Rhinolophus ferrumequinum: one gene and its partner. Each later gene encodes a partner of the first gene's protein in a complex. Links are inferred from orthologs where the notes say so. Each region holds a gene or a part of one and is shown on either strand. Other genes may lie near its edges.

The links. The genes of interacting proteins can lie anywhere in the genome.
Region 2: the proteins of ACTL7A (region 1) and TES are in contact, whole or in part, in a crystal structure (PDB 2XQN), measured with the Homo sapiens proteins. The link is inferred for Rhinolophus ferrumequinum from reciprocal best matches to the Homo sapiens genes ACTL7A and TES. Residues at the interface, in NP_006678.1 of Homo sapiens: Leu28, Gln29, Thr30, Ala31, Ser32, Leu33, Arg34, Asp35, Gly36, Pro37, Ala38, Lys39, Arg40, Ala41, Val42, Trp43, Val44, Arg45, His46; in NP_056456.1 of Homo sapiens: Asn311, Glu312, Tyr313, Thr314, Gln315, Ala316, Glu317, Leu323, Phe326, Leu335, Ala336, Gly337, Glu338, Ile339, Tyr340, Val341, Tyr353, Pro370, Glu371, Val372, Gln373, Arg374, Val375, Thr376, Tyr377, Ala384, Phe389, Leu398, Ile399, Gly400.

The regions. Positions count from the first base shown.
Region 1 is NC_046295.1:61,958,780-61,964,940, reverse strand, and holds ACTL7A (actin-like protein 7A), read right to left. Parts: upstream 1,906-6,161; coding exon 598-1,905; downstream 1-597. UniProt on the Homo sapiens protein: Essential for normal spermatogenesis and male fertility. Required for normal sperm head morphology, acroplaxome formation, acrosome attachment, and acrosome granule stability.
Region 2 is NC_046309.1:26,658,328-26,666,315, forward strand, and holds the start of TES (testin), read right to left. Parts: upstream 3,052-7,988; 5' UTR 2,884-3,051; coding exon 2,857-2,883; intron 2,749-2,856; exon of another isoform or gene 2,370-2,748; intron 1-2,369. UniProt on the Homo sapiens protein: Scaffold protein that may play a role in cell adhesion, cell spreading and in the reorganization of the actin cytoskeleton. Plays a role in the regulation of cell proliferation. May act as a tumor suppressor. Inhibits tumor cell growth.

The DNA.
Region 1 (6,161 bases):
CTCTTTCTGAACCCTCAGAATTTCTGGTGAAGTATGAAATGTACTCTGTGTAAGAGGTGGAATCTACAAGGTGATACTGGAGAACAACTCTTGTGGTCAGAGCCAGACACCGGTATTCAGATGCTTTGTGGGACAGTGAACCGTTACAACGTACTTCCTGTTGGTGTTCATCAAAGGGGGTCTTCTTAGATGCCACAACTGCATTTACTCTATAATCTACCCTCATCACACTCGCCCGTCCAAGCAGATTTTAACATGACAGTAGTTCCTCAAGTGGGAAATACACAAAATAAGGGACAGAATAATTTTAGAGCTAGTTTTTCCCAAGAATGTTTAAGCAGTAGTCATGGAGTGCATGTCTTTTCTGCCCGTCGTCCACCCCACCACCTCCATTTTTGTGTTGGCAAATGTGTATTTTAAGGCAGATGCTGCGTGTATGAAGTGGTTTTCATTAAGTCAAGCAATACAGAAACACTGTGGCGGGGAACAGGATTGTTTAATACTGCCGAGGGAACATGCTGGCTCGGCTCCATATCTGGGCTGGGTGCTCACCCAGCAGAGGTGACAGCAGCCACAGCGACCATGCTTCATCAGAGTTCAGAAGCACCTTCTGTAGAGGAAGAAAGGCCCATGTTCTTCGTACTCAGAGCGAAGGACCCACAGGGGTTGGAAGCCCTGAAGTGATGCCAGGATGGAGCCTCCTGTCCACACTGCATTGTCTCTTCCGGGCAACACGTTTACCTGGGGGGTGTCATTGGGACACATGGTACTCAGCTCTTTCTGCAGACGGTTAGGGAAGCCGCGGAGCATAGTGCTGCCCCCGCAGAGCAGGATGTTCCCCATGAGGTCCCGTTTGAGGGCGATGTCACACTTGTTCAGGCAGGACACTGTCTGGGTGTGGAGGCCCAGCTGCATGGACTTGATCAGAGAAGGCTTGAAGAACATCTCTGAGCAGAGGAACCTTTCCTGGTACAGGTCTATCTCCTGCCCATCCGGCAGGGTGTACTGGAGTGCACGCTCAGTAGCCGGGTCTTTCTTCTCTTCGATGGGGTCCAGGGCCACGTAGCAGCATTTCTCCTTGATGCCCTCCACGATGGCCACCTGGTCCTTGGTGAAGTGTTTTCCTGCGTTGTTCATCAGGCCCATCAAGTAGGCTGTCAGATCAGAGCCTGCATAGTCCAGCCGTCCGGTGATGCTGGGCAGAGGATAACCCTCGTAGATGGGGACTACGTAGGACACACCGTGGCCGACCTCCACGACCATGCCGGACGTCCTTCCGTAGGAGTACATGGACAGGCGGGACTGGTAGGCAATGTGCATTGCAGGCGTGCTGAAGGTTTCAAACAGCATTTCAGCGTACTTCTCTCTGTTGGTGTGTGGGCTGAGGGGTGGGTCCGAAACCAAGACCGCATGCTCCTGTGGGGCGATCTTCATCTCCTGATGGAAGAGATATTCCCAGATATCCTGCACCGAATCCCAGTCCACGATGATGCCGTGTCGCAGAGGGTTCGTTAGCTTGAGACGCACCTGTGGATTGATGAGCTCCTGACCCACATATGTCTCTTTGCGGTTGTCCCCGGTTTTGGCGGTCTCCATGTAGGGCTTGCCCACTGTCGATGAGATCTTGTGGCTGGGCTTTGGCAGCCCAGCAAAGCCACATTTACAGTAGCCAGTGCCAAGGTCCACGACCACCGCTTTGGTCACGACTGCCTTGGGCTTCTTGACTGCGGTCGATTTGGTAGGTTCTTCCGACTCCGAATGGCGGACCCGCACTGCCCTCTTGGCTGGGCCCTCCTTCACGGAGGCAGTCTGGGTGACCTGTGTGTGTGGGGAGGCACTCTCTCTCTTGTCAGGCCCATCCCCTGTGATTGCTGCCTGTGCATCCCACACGCTATCAAGAGCCATCTTGCTTTCAGAAGGTTCCTTGATCCCACCGGCTTCAAGGTCCGAAAGGCTTAAAAATCAGGGCAACTTGAGAATTTCTCCAGTGATGACATCGCTGATTATGATGTAATGCAGTGACCTGGGCCTTTCTAGGTAGGGGAAACTGTCCTATGTTAGGGTAGATTTGGGGTCGTGTTTTTGAGGTGACTTACCTTTTTCTCAAACTTGATGTATCCAATCAGTATTTATTGAGTGCTTGGTATGTGCAAGGCAGCTGGGAATACAAGGCAACAGTGGAAAAAAAATTCTCTGCCCTTTTACAGTTTACATTTTAGTCAGTGGGGGTTGGGGAGAGAGACAATTTTTAATATATATGTATATGTATATATGTGAGTGTGTGTGTGTGTATATACATATACATATATATATGAAGATGTTAAGGGCAAAAGAGACAAAGCAGGGAAGGGGAATGGGGAGGGCGGCATGCTAATGTGCCTGGCAGGGCTCCCTGAGACAGTGACACTGATGGAGACCTAAAGGAGGTGAGGGAGAGTGCCATGTGTATATCACAGCAACAGACGTAGAGGACTGGAGAGGGACATGTGACTGATGAGTTAGAACAGGGTTAGCAAACTGTGGCCTGCAACCTGTTTTTGTAAATAAAATTTTATTGGGACACAGCCACGCTCATTTGTTTATGTATTATCTATGGCTGTGTTGGTTGAGTCATTGCAACAAAGACTCTGGCTTGCAAAGTTGAAAATACATATTGACTCCCTGGGCCTTTACGGAAAAAGTTTGCAGCCTCCAAGTTAGAGAGGATCCCAAGAAGAATGTGGCTGGTGTGGAGAGAGCAAGGACAAGGACATGAGATGGCAGAAGTAAGACGGCGGGTAGAGCATTGGGCCTCATGAGCCATTGCTAGAACTTTGGCTCTGACTGTGAGGTGGGAAAGCACTAGAGAATTTTGAGCAGAGATTTGACACCATCTGATTTAGATTTTAGCAGGACTAGTTGCTGCCATGGTTACTGCCAAGAACCTCTGTCTCACTTGTTCCTTCGGACAACCTGCAGAGGAATCTTTTTGGACACGTATTTGTACACATATTCCTCCTTCATCTAGGTCATGGTTCAGCAATGAAATTAGACCCTACAGAGTCCCACTGATGAGAACGTTTCAGGCCCTTAGGTACATAGCTCACTCAAAGATATCCAGCTAGCAGTGGCCAAGCTCTCCTGACTACAACTTCTTCCCGGGCATGTGCTGTGGACACACCTTGATGGGACTTGACGTGTGTCTCTGAGGCTGCTTGGCCACTGCCTCCCATGCCATCTCTGAAGCTGAGCATGTTGGTGCTGACACCTGTCACTCTCAAGGCACCCAGAATCCAGCCTTACGTTGTGCAGCCACGTGCTCTTCATAAAAGGCAGTGACTACCATGGTGGGCTTTCTCTAAGGAGCTTACTGAGGATGCTCTTGGCTCCTTGTAGGATGTGAGAGAAGAAAAGGACCAAGTCCAGTCTCTTGAGCTTTGTGACGACCTGACAGGGGCAGCCAAACTCATTTCAGAAATAAATCTCAGCTTCTTGGTTCAATGGGTGGAGGATGAGATAGCATAGAGTTTTGAAAGAACAGAAAAGTACTTTTTTCTATGCCTGGCTGCCGGCAAAATAGTTTACTTTACTTAATAGTTTACTTGCCTCTGTTTTTCAGGGGTTTGCATGGCCAACTTGGATTACTTGGCTTTATTTCAAAAGAACTTACATGATAAGACATATTTAACTTAGAATCATGTTTTCCTTCTCTTCAACCCCCCCTCTTAAATTCTCAGAAATCTGCAGCTGCTTAGTCCATGTTTTACTGCCTTGGATTGCTGTAAGAGCTTGTATTAGTTGTCTATTGCTGCTGTAACAAATTATCACAAGTTTAATGGCATTAAACACAAATGTATTATCTTACAATTCTGGAGGTCAGAAGTCCACAATCACTCTTAGTGGGCTAAAATCAAGGTGTCACGGCCTCAGTCCTTCTGGAGGCTCGAGGGGCTAGTCCTTTCCTTGCCTTTTTTTAGCTCCTAGAGGCTGCCTACATTGCGTGGCTTGTGGCCCCTTCCTTCATCTTCAGAGACCTCTCCTGCTTCTGTTTCCACATCTCTTTCTCTGACCTGACCCTCCTGTCTGCCTCTGATTAAGGTCCTGTGAGTTCTTTGAGTCTGCCGGATAATCCAGGGTAGTTAATCTCCCCATGTCAAACTCTTTAACTCACATCTGCAGAGTCCTTATTTTCCATGAAAGGTGACATATTCACAGGTTTCAGGCATTAAGATGTGGACATCTTTCACCTTGTCGCTTGACCTGTGCATCCCACTTGACTAAGACACTCAAAGCCTGGCGTGCTGTTTCATGTGCTCCTCCCCCACTGCCCATGCTCACCCATCCTTAACCCTTTCTGTCATCGTGGGTAGGAGAGGTGCTGTGCTTGCTTAAGGCCAGTCGCTCCATCTAGTCTGCCAGGTCCATGAGCGCGGGGACTCTCAGGGTCCACCCCGACATCCTTTGCGCTAAAGCCAATGGACACTTTTACTTCACGTCTCAGGGTATCGCAGGCTTGAATGCCCTTTGCCTTAGCTTCTGTGTTACCCGTTGTGTCCCTTCTCTCCTCTCTGGGTCATCACATGGTATCAGTGATGGAAGAATATAGAGACTGTTGGCACTCTGCACCCCAAACGTCCACTGCCTGGCACATGCGGCTGCACACACTGGTCATTAACCACCTAAGGTACATGTGGGCTCCCTGGAGTCTCTGGTGAGATCCCTCTAGTAGAAATACTCTATATTGCTCAGACTGCATTTCCTCACTGGATCACACTTTTGCTCCTCTGGCCCAAGACATCCTCCCGCCCCGCAAAAATGAGATGATCCTTCTCGAAAGCAACCCTGAGGCTCTCCTCTACTGGAGAAAAAAACATGGGAAGATTTGACCAAGAAACACTTTTCTTCCTGCAGTGGTATCCTTGCACCTGACTGGGTTTGGGGGATACCACCCACAGTTGACCTTTGGAAGAAAGGTGAACCAGGCCACTGTAATTTTAGCAGCTGTGGGAGAGAAGAATCTAGTAAGGCAAGGCCAAAATACAGTATTTCTTTTTTTGGATGCAGATTCCTGGATCCCACCCCAGTCTTACTGAATCTGAATATTTTGAGCCCAGGACTACTTAGGCCTAGGAATTCAACTCTTCAATATGTTGACATTTGAGAACCCAAGTCAGGAGCTCCCAGCAAAGAAGAGGATCCCTTACCAAACACACAGTGAGCCTCATTCCCAAAGCTCGGCCCCCAATGTGGTAACCCAAATATCAAGTCTGCCCATTTTCCTCAAGGTGGAAGGGGAAGGAGCCCTCTTCAGAAGGTGGAGATACTCTCCTGAGGACTCACATCTGGATCCAGATCATTTCTCTTCCTAAGCTCCATATACCACAGTCCAGTGGTCACTAAGCATCTTAAGTCAGCATGTTCCAACTGGAACTCATTCTCATCCCCTACATAACTGCTCCTGCCTCTGCGATCTCTATGTATGAGGGGTCCCGCCACCTACCTAGTTGCTGGAAACCTGGAGGAAGTGGATCGGATCAAGTTGATGAAGGGACGTAGCACTGTCATAATCACATTCAACGAATATTTTGAGTAGTTTGCCCAAGGTCATACATAGTATGGTAATGGAGCTAGATTTGAACTCAGGTCCGAGTCCAATGCCTTACTCTTCTTTCTATTCTGGACTGTCTTTCTGTAAGAAATGGAAGAAGTAGGCTCAGGGGTCCATGAGCATTGCCTGTAAATAAGCATAAGGATTGTCACATAGAAGAATTAGCTTGCTCTGCATAACCCCAAAAGTAGACCCAAGTCCAATTAATGGCTTCTCCAGAGAGGTACAGATGTCAGTCCGGTGTGAGGAAAAGTATATTGCTCAGCTGTCCATGCCAGAGCAAGTGTCCGATCCTCAGGCTCTGATTTGTGCTACCACCAATAGAGCTTGGTGGTGCTCGTAATTAATCCTTATAAAGTTGTCACCCGTGTAATCCAGTTTCATATTCTAAGAAACAATTCAGCAAACAAAAATTCTCACGAGTTCTTCATTAACATTCTTACGTGCTTGATAGATCATTTCTTAATTACATCTTAAAATCTCTCTCTTCTTTCCTCTCCATTATCTCCTCATCCCTCAATTACTTCTGTTCTTTGTAATTCTCCTAGAAGATGTCCTCAGCCTTAGTTGTTTC
Region 2 (7,988 bases), on another chromosome or scaffold:
AGCAAAATCTAATTATAAAATCCCTTGTCTTTGTGACGGTGGGTTTTAACTGGTAATTAATCCAAATGTGTGCAAATGATGTGGACACCAACTTCTCCTTTTATAAAACAAGAATCCCATAATAGGATCATCCACCTAGGATGTTGTGGAATAAAGACAACCCACTTTAATTCTCCTTACACAAAATGTTAATGGAAAAAAATAAATGACATTTTTCATCTGCCTGGGGAAAATTCCTTATGAAATAAACAGTATAAGGGTTTTAGAAGGAAACAATGCCACAGATTTTAAGACAGAAGTCAAATTTAGTTTTATTTAGCTTTTTAAGCTTATTTACCTTTAAAAAAGTTACATTCAAACGATTACTTTTCTTGTATAACCAAGTCAAAAAGAAGAGACACCTGAAAACTACCTACGTACCAAAATAGGGTGAGAAGGCTCTGCCAGTAGGTCAGAGATAATCTTGTAATGTTTTCTTCTTCTAGTAAGTTAAAGTTCTAAAGGGAAGGTAAGGTGGGTTTTTGGGGGTGTGTATTTCTTTTTGTTTTTTTTAGATTACAGCTAAGACTATGAAATGTATTCCTGGGACCTCTAAACTCTGTGCTGGGAAACTTTGTATGGAATCCACAGAACATCAGGTCTGTCTAGGGTCCTACGAAGGCACAGAGAGGGCATGGTTGGCAGTCACACTGGACATCTTTGGGGTTTTCTAGTAGTTTCCAATTTACTGGTTGACTGCCCTGACTACCAGCTATGACAAGATAGTGTAACTGGGTTTATTACCATCATGGAGTTATCTGCAAAAGCTTTAAATTTATGGGGGTGGGAAAGGAAAGGAGGAGGATTACAGAGGAAGATAAGATTCTCAGTTGAAAGATAACCTTTTAAAGTAAAGGGAAGATGGAGGAGAAAAACTTACACTACATATCAAGGGCACTGTTTATCATAATCTACATTTTGAAACTAAGAAAATTGTTTATAAATGTCTGGATTTTTCCCTTGCAAGCACATGTCATTCTTAACTGGACTTTCTTCCATTAAATTACTTTTTCCTTGTCTCCAATGCTTTCAAAATCACTTTTGGATGTTGACTTATTTATTTATTTATTTTTTAAGTACACTTTATTTTTCAGAGCACGGTTAAGTTCACAGCAAAACTGAGCAGAGGGCAGAATTCCCATATATCTTCAACCCACTCAGCTTTCGCCAGTGTCTATATCCCACACCACAGTGGTCTATTTGTTACAACTGATAAACCTACACCGACACATCATTATCCTCCAAAGTCCATAGTTCTTATTAGGGTTCACTCTTGGTGTTATTTATTCTATGGATTTTGACAAACATAATATAATGACGTGTGTCCACCATTATAGTATCATAGAGAATTGTTTCAATGCCCTAAAAAAAATTCCCTGCTTCACCTATTCAGCCCTCCCTCCAAAGGATGTTAACTTTTAAAAGTTTTTGAATCAATATTTGTAAGCACGACAAGACTTCCACCCCCCAAATTTTAGACAAGTACTAAATTAAGTAGCTGTTACAAAATAAACACTGTTCATCAACAGAAGGCTGAGCAGCAACCAAAATGCTTTTAGTGGCAAGCAAGATTAACAAAAAATATTAGTGTCGTTTAAAAGCAAATGAAACAAGAAACCAAATGGAAGAGAATAGAATGCAATCACGTTACTCTTAAATTTTGCATTATCTTTCCGGTCCTTGGGTTCCTTTTTGAAAGCTGGTTCTAGTCATAAGCGACAAACTGTTTTCCCACTCTAAGTTTTTATTTTTCAATGCCTTCCTAACCTAATATTTTGCATTTTTGTACATTTTCAAAATTCCAGTTCTGAGCATGAACAGAATTAATGCTCAAATCAAGAGCTTTGTCTTTAGAAGATGAAATAGCAATATTGGCAACTATGATGGGCAAAAAAGAAAATTAGGTTCTATTCTCTCTGCAAAACTTCCTTCCCTATTTGATAAGAGACAGCTAGCTTAAATTTACCGAAAAGTAAATATGAGCAATTCATTGGAATGAGACATTTCCCACAGAACGTTACACTGGAATGTGATACCAGCATTCCGTTTGACTCACAGTCTGGTTCCCACCCTTTCCTCGCAGGGGACCTGAGGCTCCCATACGGCGGGGCGGGGGGGGGGGGCGTCTCAGGTAGGGCGGTGGGTCCCGACGTCGGGGACAGCCACGCGGGAAACGTCACCGGGCACTAAAAGCACTGGTGACAATCACCGTTTCGGGCGAGCTGCCAGCAAGGGAGAACGTTTTCTATGAGAAGTAACTTCCTACGAGGGAGGCAGTGCTTTGGAAATCAAGAAATGAATGACCAAAAAAGAAAAAAAAAAATCATCACCTCCCACGTTCTCCCAGGCGCGGAGCGCGGAGTGCATTCAATCAGCACTGTCCTTAGGAGCGCCGAGCAGCGAGCAGGGCGGGGAGGAGGGCTGAGCTGTCAAAGTCACAGCACCGCTCCCGGATCGCAGAGGCTGAAAGCGAACTTCCTGAGACAGGAAGAAGCGGCGCACGGTCTCGCCCGCACTCGCCCTAACCTCACGCACTTCTCTTCGGGAGGCACAGGCGCAGCCGAGACGTTCTACGGGAAGTGGCAGGCACTTCTAACCGTCGGAAGCGGTTAGACCGGAGAGAAAAGTCCTGCGCCCGCCCCGGCTCGCGCGCCCGCCTTTCAGGAGTTAACCGGGCCGCCCGGCACCCCTTCCACCCGGGGGGCGGGTACAGGCCCGGGACCCGGCGCCCCGGAGCCGGCTCGCGCCCCACCCACCGCCGGCGGCCAGGGGGCGGTGCCCCGCGCAGGTGAGGCGGCCGCCAGCCGCGCCCCCTACCTTCTTCACTTTGACCGCCAGGTCCATGTTGGTGGGTCAGAGGTTCCTTCCCCGGTCCGGGATCTCACGCACGGGCTGGTCCGACCTCCGGCTCCGCCGCGGGTACTTTGGGGACCTATGGCTGTCCGGCGCCGCTACCGCAGCCACCCGTCCCGCGCAGTGAAACTTCCGCTGCCCAGTCCGCGGCAGCCGGCCTGCGGCGGGGACCGGGAACAAAGAGGCCCACACAGCCAATGGCAGCCTGGCAGCGCCGGGCAGCCACCAATCACCGAGCGCCTCACGCACCTTGGCGGCCCGAGCGCGGCGCTGGCAAGGTGAGGGGCGGGGCCGCGTTAGGGGCGGGGCCCCAACGAGAGCTCTCGAGTACCGACCGTGGGCCCCGCGGAGGCGCTGGGCGTCAGTCCCCAGCCTGTGAAGAGCTGGGGCCCGGCTTGCCTGCCCCTGAAGATGAGGAAGAGCCCTTTCCATTCTGGCAGCTTCTACCTGTGTTTCCTGTGGACCTTAGATATGTGTCCTGGGGAGTACTTATCCCGCCATTAGCTTCTTGGTTTATTTTCAGGGCAAGGAGAAAGAGAAGCTACTATGAACATTCGTAGGGATCACTGTGATGGCCAATGCACCCTAATTTCACTGTTGAGTTGTGGGTATGGACTTTTCTCAAATGCTTTCCCCATAATCCCAAGCACTGGCAAGGAACCTCCTGATCTCAGTGAAGATTCCTACATATGTTTTCTGAGTCTTTGATTATTCAAAAATGAGGATGGTGTGATTCACTTCGGAGACAGGTTGGGCCATTCCTTTGGAAGTAGAGGCTTGTTCTTTGTCCCTGCTACGTGAGATGGTGTGAGGCTGCTCATGTGTCTCTTGCTGGGATGAAGCAGTTTCATAGGACTAACGAGCAGCACTGGAGCAACTGCACGGGATCCGTTCCATGGCCTAATTCAGGAGTGACTGCAATGAATACTCTCAGATGGGTGGATCCGGACGGCATTTAGGGATTATTGAGTCTAGCTTTCTCATTTTGCAGGAAACTGAGGACACCAGAGGGGCAAGAACCTGCCCGCTTTCTTACTCTCTTGGGGCAGAGCTAGTGTTCATGAGTCTGTAAGCAAATGAGTCTCCAGCAAATTTGGGACTGTCAAAACAGCTTTTTGATTTAAGTAAAAGAGAAAAGAGTCCTTTGTTTTCCAGTTTGTTGTTATGACAAAAGATTATAATGAGTGGACGGCAGGTGATTTCCTAATCTGGCATCTACTTTGAAAATGCAAAAAGTCCCAAATAAAGTAGATATTTAGGTCCAAATGTCTCTCCTCTGTGCCTCTGGAAATTTCGTAACAGAAACACCCAAAGTTTATTTGAGCCAACACTTTCAACCCTTTGCTTACTTGGCTATTTGTTAACATTATTCAACAGAACATTGATTTATAATGTGAATGTTTTCCTCATCCTATTAATAAACTAAAAATGGAATGACAAAAATGGATCACAAATTTTTCTTGTCACTCAATTGATGTAAAAGTTTCCCATCCCATTTTCCCAAACCGTCCTAAAACTTTGGGCCTCTACAAAGTTTATCCAAGTGTAAGCTCCAATGAACATGAGTTTTGTGACAAGGCAATTTGGTCTTTTTCATGGAGATTAACAGATGGAAAATGTCCAGTAAAACAGTTTAAATAAGGCATCAAACAAATGTTGTAACATAAATTCTGGGCTTATTTGGTGGGATTTCAGAGATGACAGTAAGAAAAAGATCTGGAAACTTCTTTCTTAAACATCAAATTCTGCCCTTCCTTTTTTCCTGCCAACCCTCCCAGCATCACTGTTTATGTGTATCATTGCCAAGGATGGAAGTTGAAATTCAGTGATTTCTATCTGGACTCATTACAGTGCCAATTATATAGAAAATAAAATTGAGGTAGATAAGTACTAAGTTAGGAGGCTTGGATTGTGAGTCCTTATTTAGCTGGTAAAGTGTTTAGCTATATATTAAGGAGTTAGAAGTGATAATACTTGGTAGTTGATGACACAGGAGTGAGTAGAAGATGTCACACATGTTTCTGACTTGATCATCTATCTAGATGCTTCAGGAAAAGAGAAAATAAAGGATGAGGGGCAGGATTTTGTTTAGTTTTTCTTTCTTTAGGGGGTAGTGGGGATGAAGAATATCATGGGTTTTGAATATCATGGGTTTGAGGCTGGGATATTGAAGTATCTATATATAAATCTTACAGATGAAACCTGAACTGGAATAGTGATTTAGGAGTCAACACCGTACATAGTTAAATGAGTAAAAGCCATGAGTGGAATACCATCAGCATGGGAGACTGCAAAATAAGACAGTATTGGTTAGGACAACTGAGCAAAGCTGAGCAAGAAAAGCACAGAAAGGAGATGAGGCTAGTTAGAGGGTAAGGAAAAAAAAAAAAAACAGCCAGAGTAGAGCCCCAGCAACCAAGAGAGGAAATTCAAGAAGTAATTATCAACAATGTCAAATTGTAGAGAAGGGTCAAATGCCCATTGGATTTAACAAAAATGAAATGATTGGTAAACTGGAGGCATGCTAGCTATATCCCACATGAAATTTGATGGCCAAAGTAAGGTAGAGCAATGGGTATGGGGAGTTAGAAGAATAATCAGTGTTATTAAAGAGAAAGAAAATCTTGGAATTAATACATTGGTTTGAAGGGAGGGAGTCTGGAATGACTCTTGGGAACCTATTCTGGGTGACTGGTATGGTAGATGACCCTCAGTCCTTAAGGTTAGAAACAGAAGAGAAGGAAGACTGAGAAAGATAATGGGTTTAGTTTTGCATGTATTGATTTTGCAAGGGCAATTCGGTCTGAGTCTGGTGGTCAAAAGAAAGATCTGGGCTAGAGATACAGATGATTGATTATAAATGCACAGGCACACACGCATACATATACAGAAATACATGTGCATACAAACACACACACGGTAAACATAAGCACTAGGGAAAAGAAACACCAATGGAAAGTTTTCTACACCAGATGAAGTAAATTTTCAAGATAGAGATGACTACATCTGTTTCCTTGATTATTAATGTGGTCCCAGGAGCCCTCTTTAGAGATGTTAATCATTTATTAACATCTGTTAGAGGAACTCCTGTGCTACTGATATAGCCATTATTGTTCATTAGCAGCTTGTATAGGATTACACATTGTTTTACATCTCAGAGCAAACTATTACCTATTAAAAAAAAAGTTTTTATTGACAAAACACTAGGGATTAGCTAAGTAAATAATGGATGATCCATATGATAGATTTATGATAGGTTCTGAACAATAATACTTGAGAATTTTTATAATAGTAAACACGGTAACAAAACAGAATATAGAATTGTATATACATTGTGCTCACCACTCTACAAAATACCATGTAAAAAGAACATGAAAATACGCTAAAATGTTAGCAGTGGTTTGCCTTTGACTAGTGGGTCCATAGGGATTCCTTCCTTCCTTTAAAAAAGAAATTCCATGATGAGCATGACATTTTTCTTAATGGTAAAACCTCATTTTAAAATATATTATTCAAAGCATTTTAGGGATATGGGTTGAGGGCTGCATAATTTTCAATCTCTCTCAAACCCACATTAAAAAACAACAAAAAACAGACCAACTAATTAGCAAAATCAAAAACCCTTGGAAAACCTTTACAACAAAACTAGGTGACCAGGTATCTCCTTAAACCCCAAAACATAGCAGTGAGGCCAAACCACCAAAAGCCACAAGATATGTACATATAAACAATTTGTGGAGATAGGAAGGGAAACAATACAGTGGTGTCTGATGGACGGAACTCAAGATGTTTTTCTCTAATAATTCATTTTAAAACACTGCAGGCCAATTTTCTAACAGCAACTGAAACAGTAAGAATGACTAAAGGGGCTAAAGCAATCTCACCAGTGGGAGATCTCAAAACTGACCCTCCTGGACTCATTTCTAGGAGAGGGTCCCACAATAAGAAACTGCATGTAGGGAAATCAAAATGGAGTAGGATGGTGCAGAAGAGGCGGTGGAAAGTGAAAAGCTAGAGAAGCATTCTCTGATATGGTAGCCAGGAACCACATGTGGTTATTTAAATTTTAATTAATTAAATTAATTTAAATACTGGACATTAATTAATATTTAAAATTCAGCTTTTCACTCGCACTAGTCATACTTCAAGTGCTCAATAGCCCGAGAAGGGAACAGAGTTAGGAATTCCCAAAAGCATGCTGTGTTTTTTAAAAAAGATTTTTATTAAATTATAGCTAACATGCAGTATTATATTAATTTCAGGTATACATCATAGTTATTCAACATTTATATACCTAAAGAAGTGATGACCATGATAAGTCCAGCAACCATCTGACACTGTATCGCGCTATCACAATATTATTGACTATATGCCCCATGCTGTACACTACTTCCCCATGACTTATTTGTTTTATACCTGGAAATTTGAATCTATCATTGCCCTTCTCCTTTTCCCCTTTTTTAATTTTTCAATTACAGTTGACATTCAATATTATTTTCTATAAATTTCAGGTGTAGAGCATAGTGATGAGACATTTATGTAATTTAAGGAGCGATTCCCTGACTAGTACCCACCTGGCACTGTACATAGTTATTACCATATTATTGATCATATTCCTGGTGCTTTACTTTACATCCCCATAACTGTTTTGTAACTACCAGTTTGTACTTTCTAATCCCTTCCCCTTTTTCACACATTACCAACCCTCTTCCCATCTGGAAACCATCAAAATGTTCTCTGTATCTATGTGTTTGTTTCTGTTTTGTTTATTTGTTTATTTTGTTCTTTAGATTTCACATATAAGCAAAGTCACCTTGCATCTGTCTTTCTCTGTCTGACATACTCCACTCAGCACAGCACCCTCCAGGCCCACCCATGCCACCACAGATGGCAAGAACCCATTCACTTCCCTAGCTGAGCAAAATTGCATGGTATGTATGCACAACCTCCTCTTTATCCATTCATCCATCGATGGACACCCCAGCTGCCTCCACATCTTGGTTATTGTAAACAATGCTGCAATAAACATTTGAATACACACATCCCTCAAAGTAGCATTTTGGGTTTCTTCAGATAATTACCCAGAAGTGGATTAT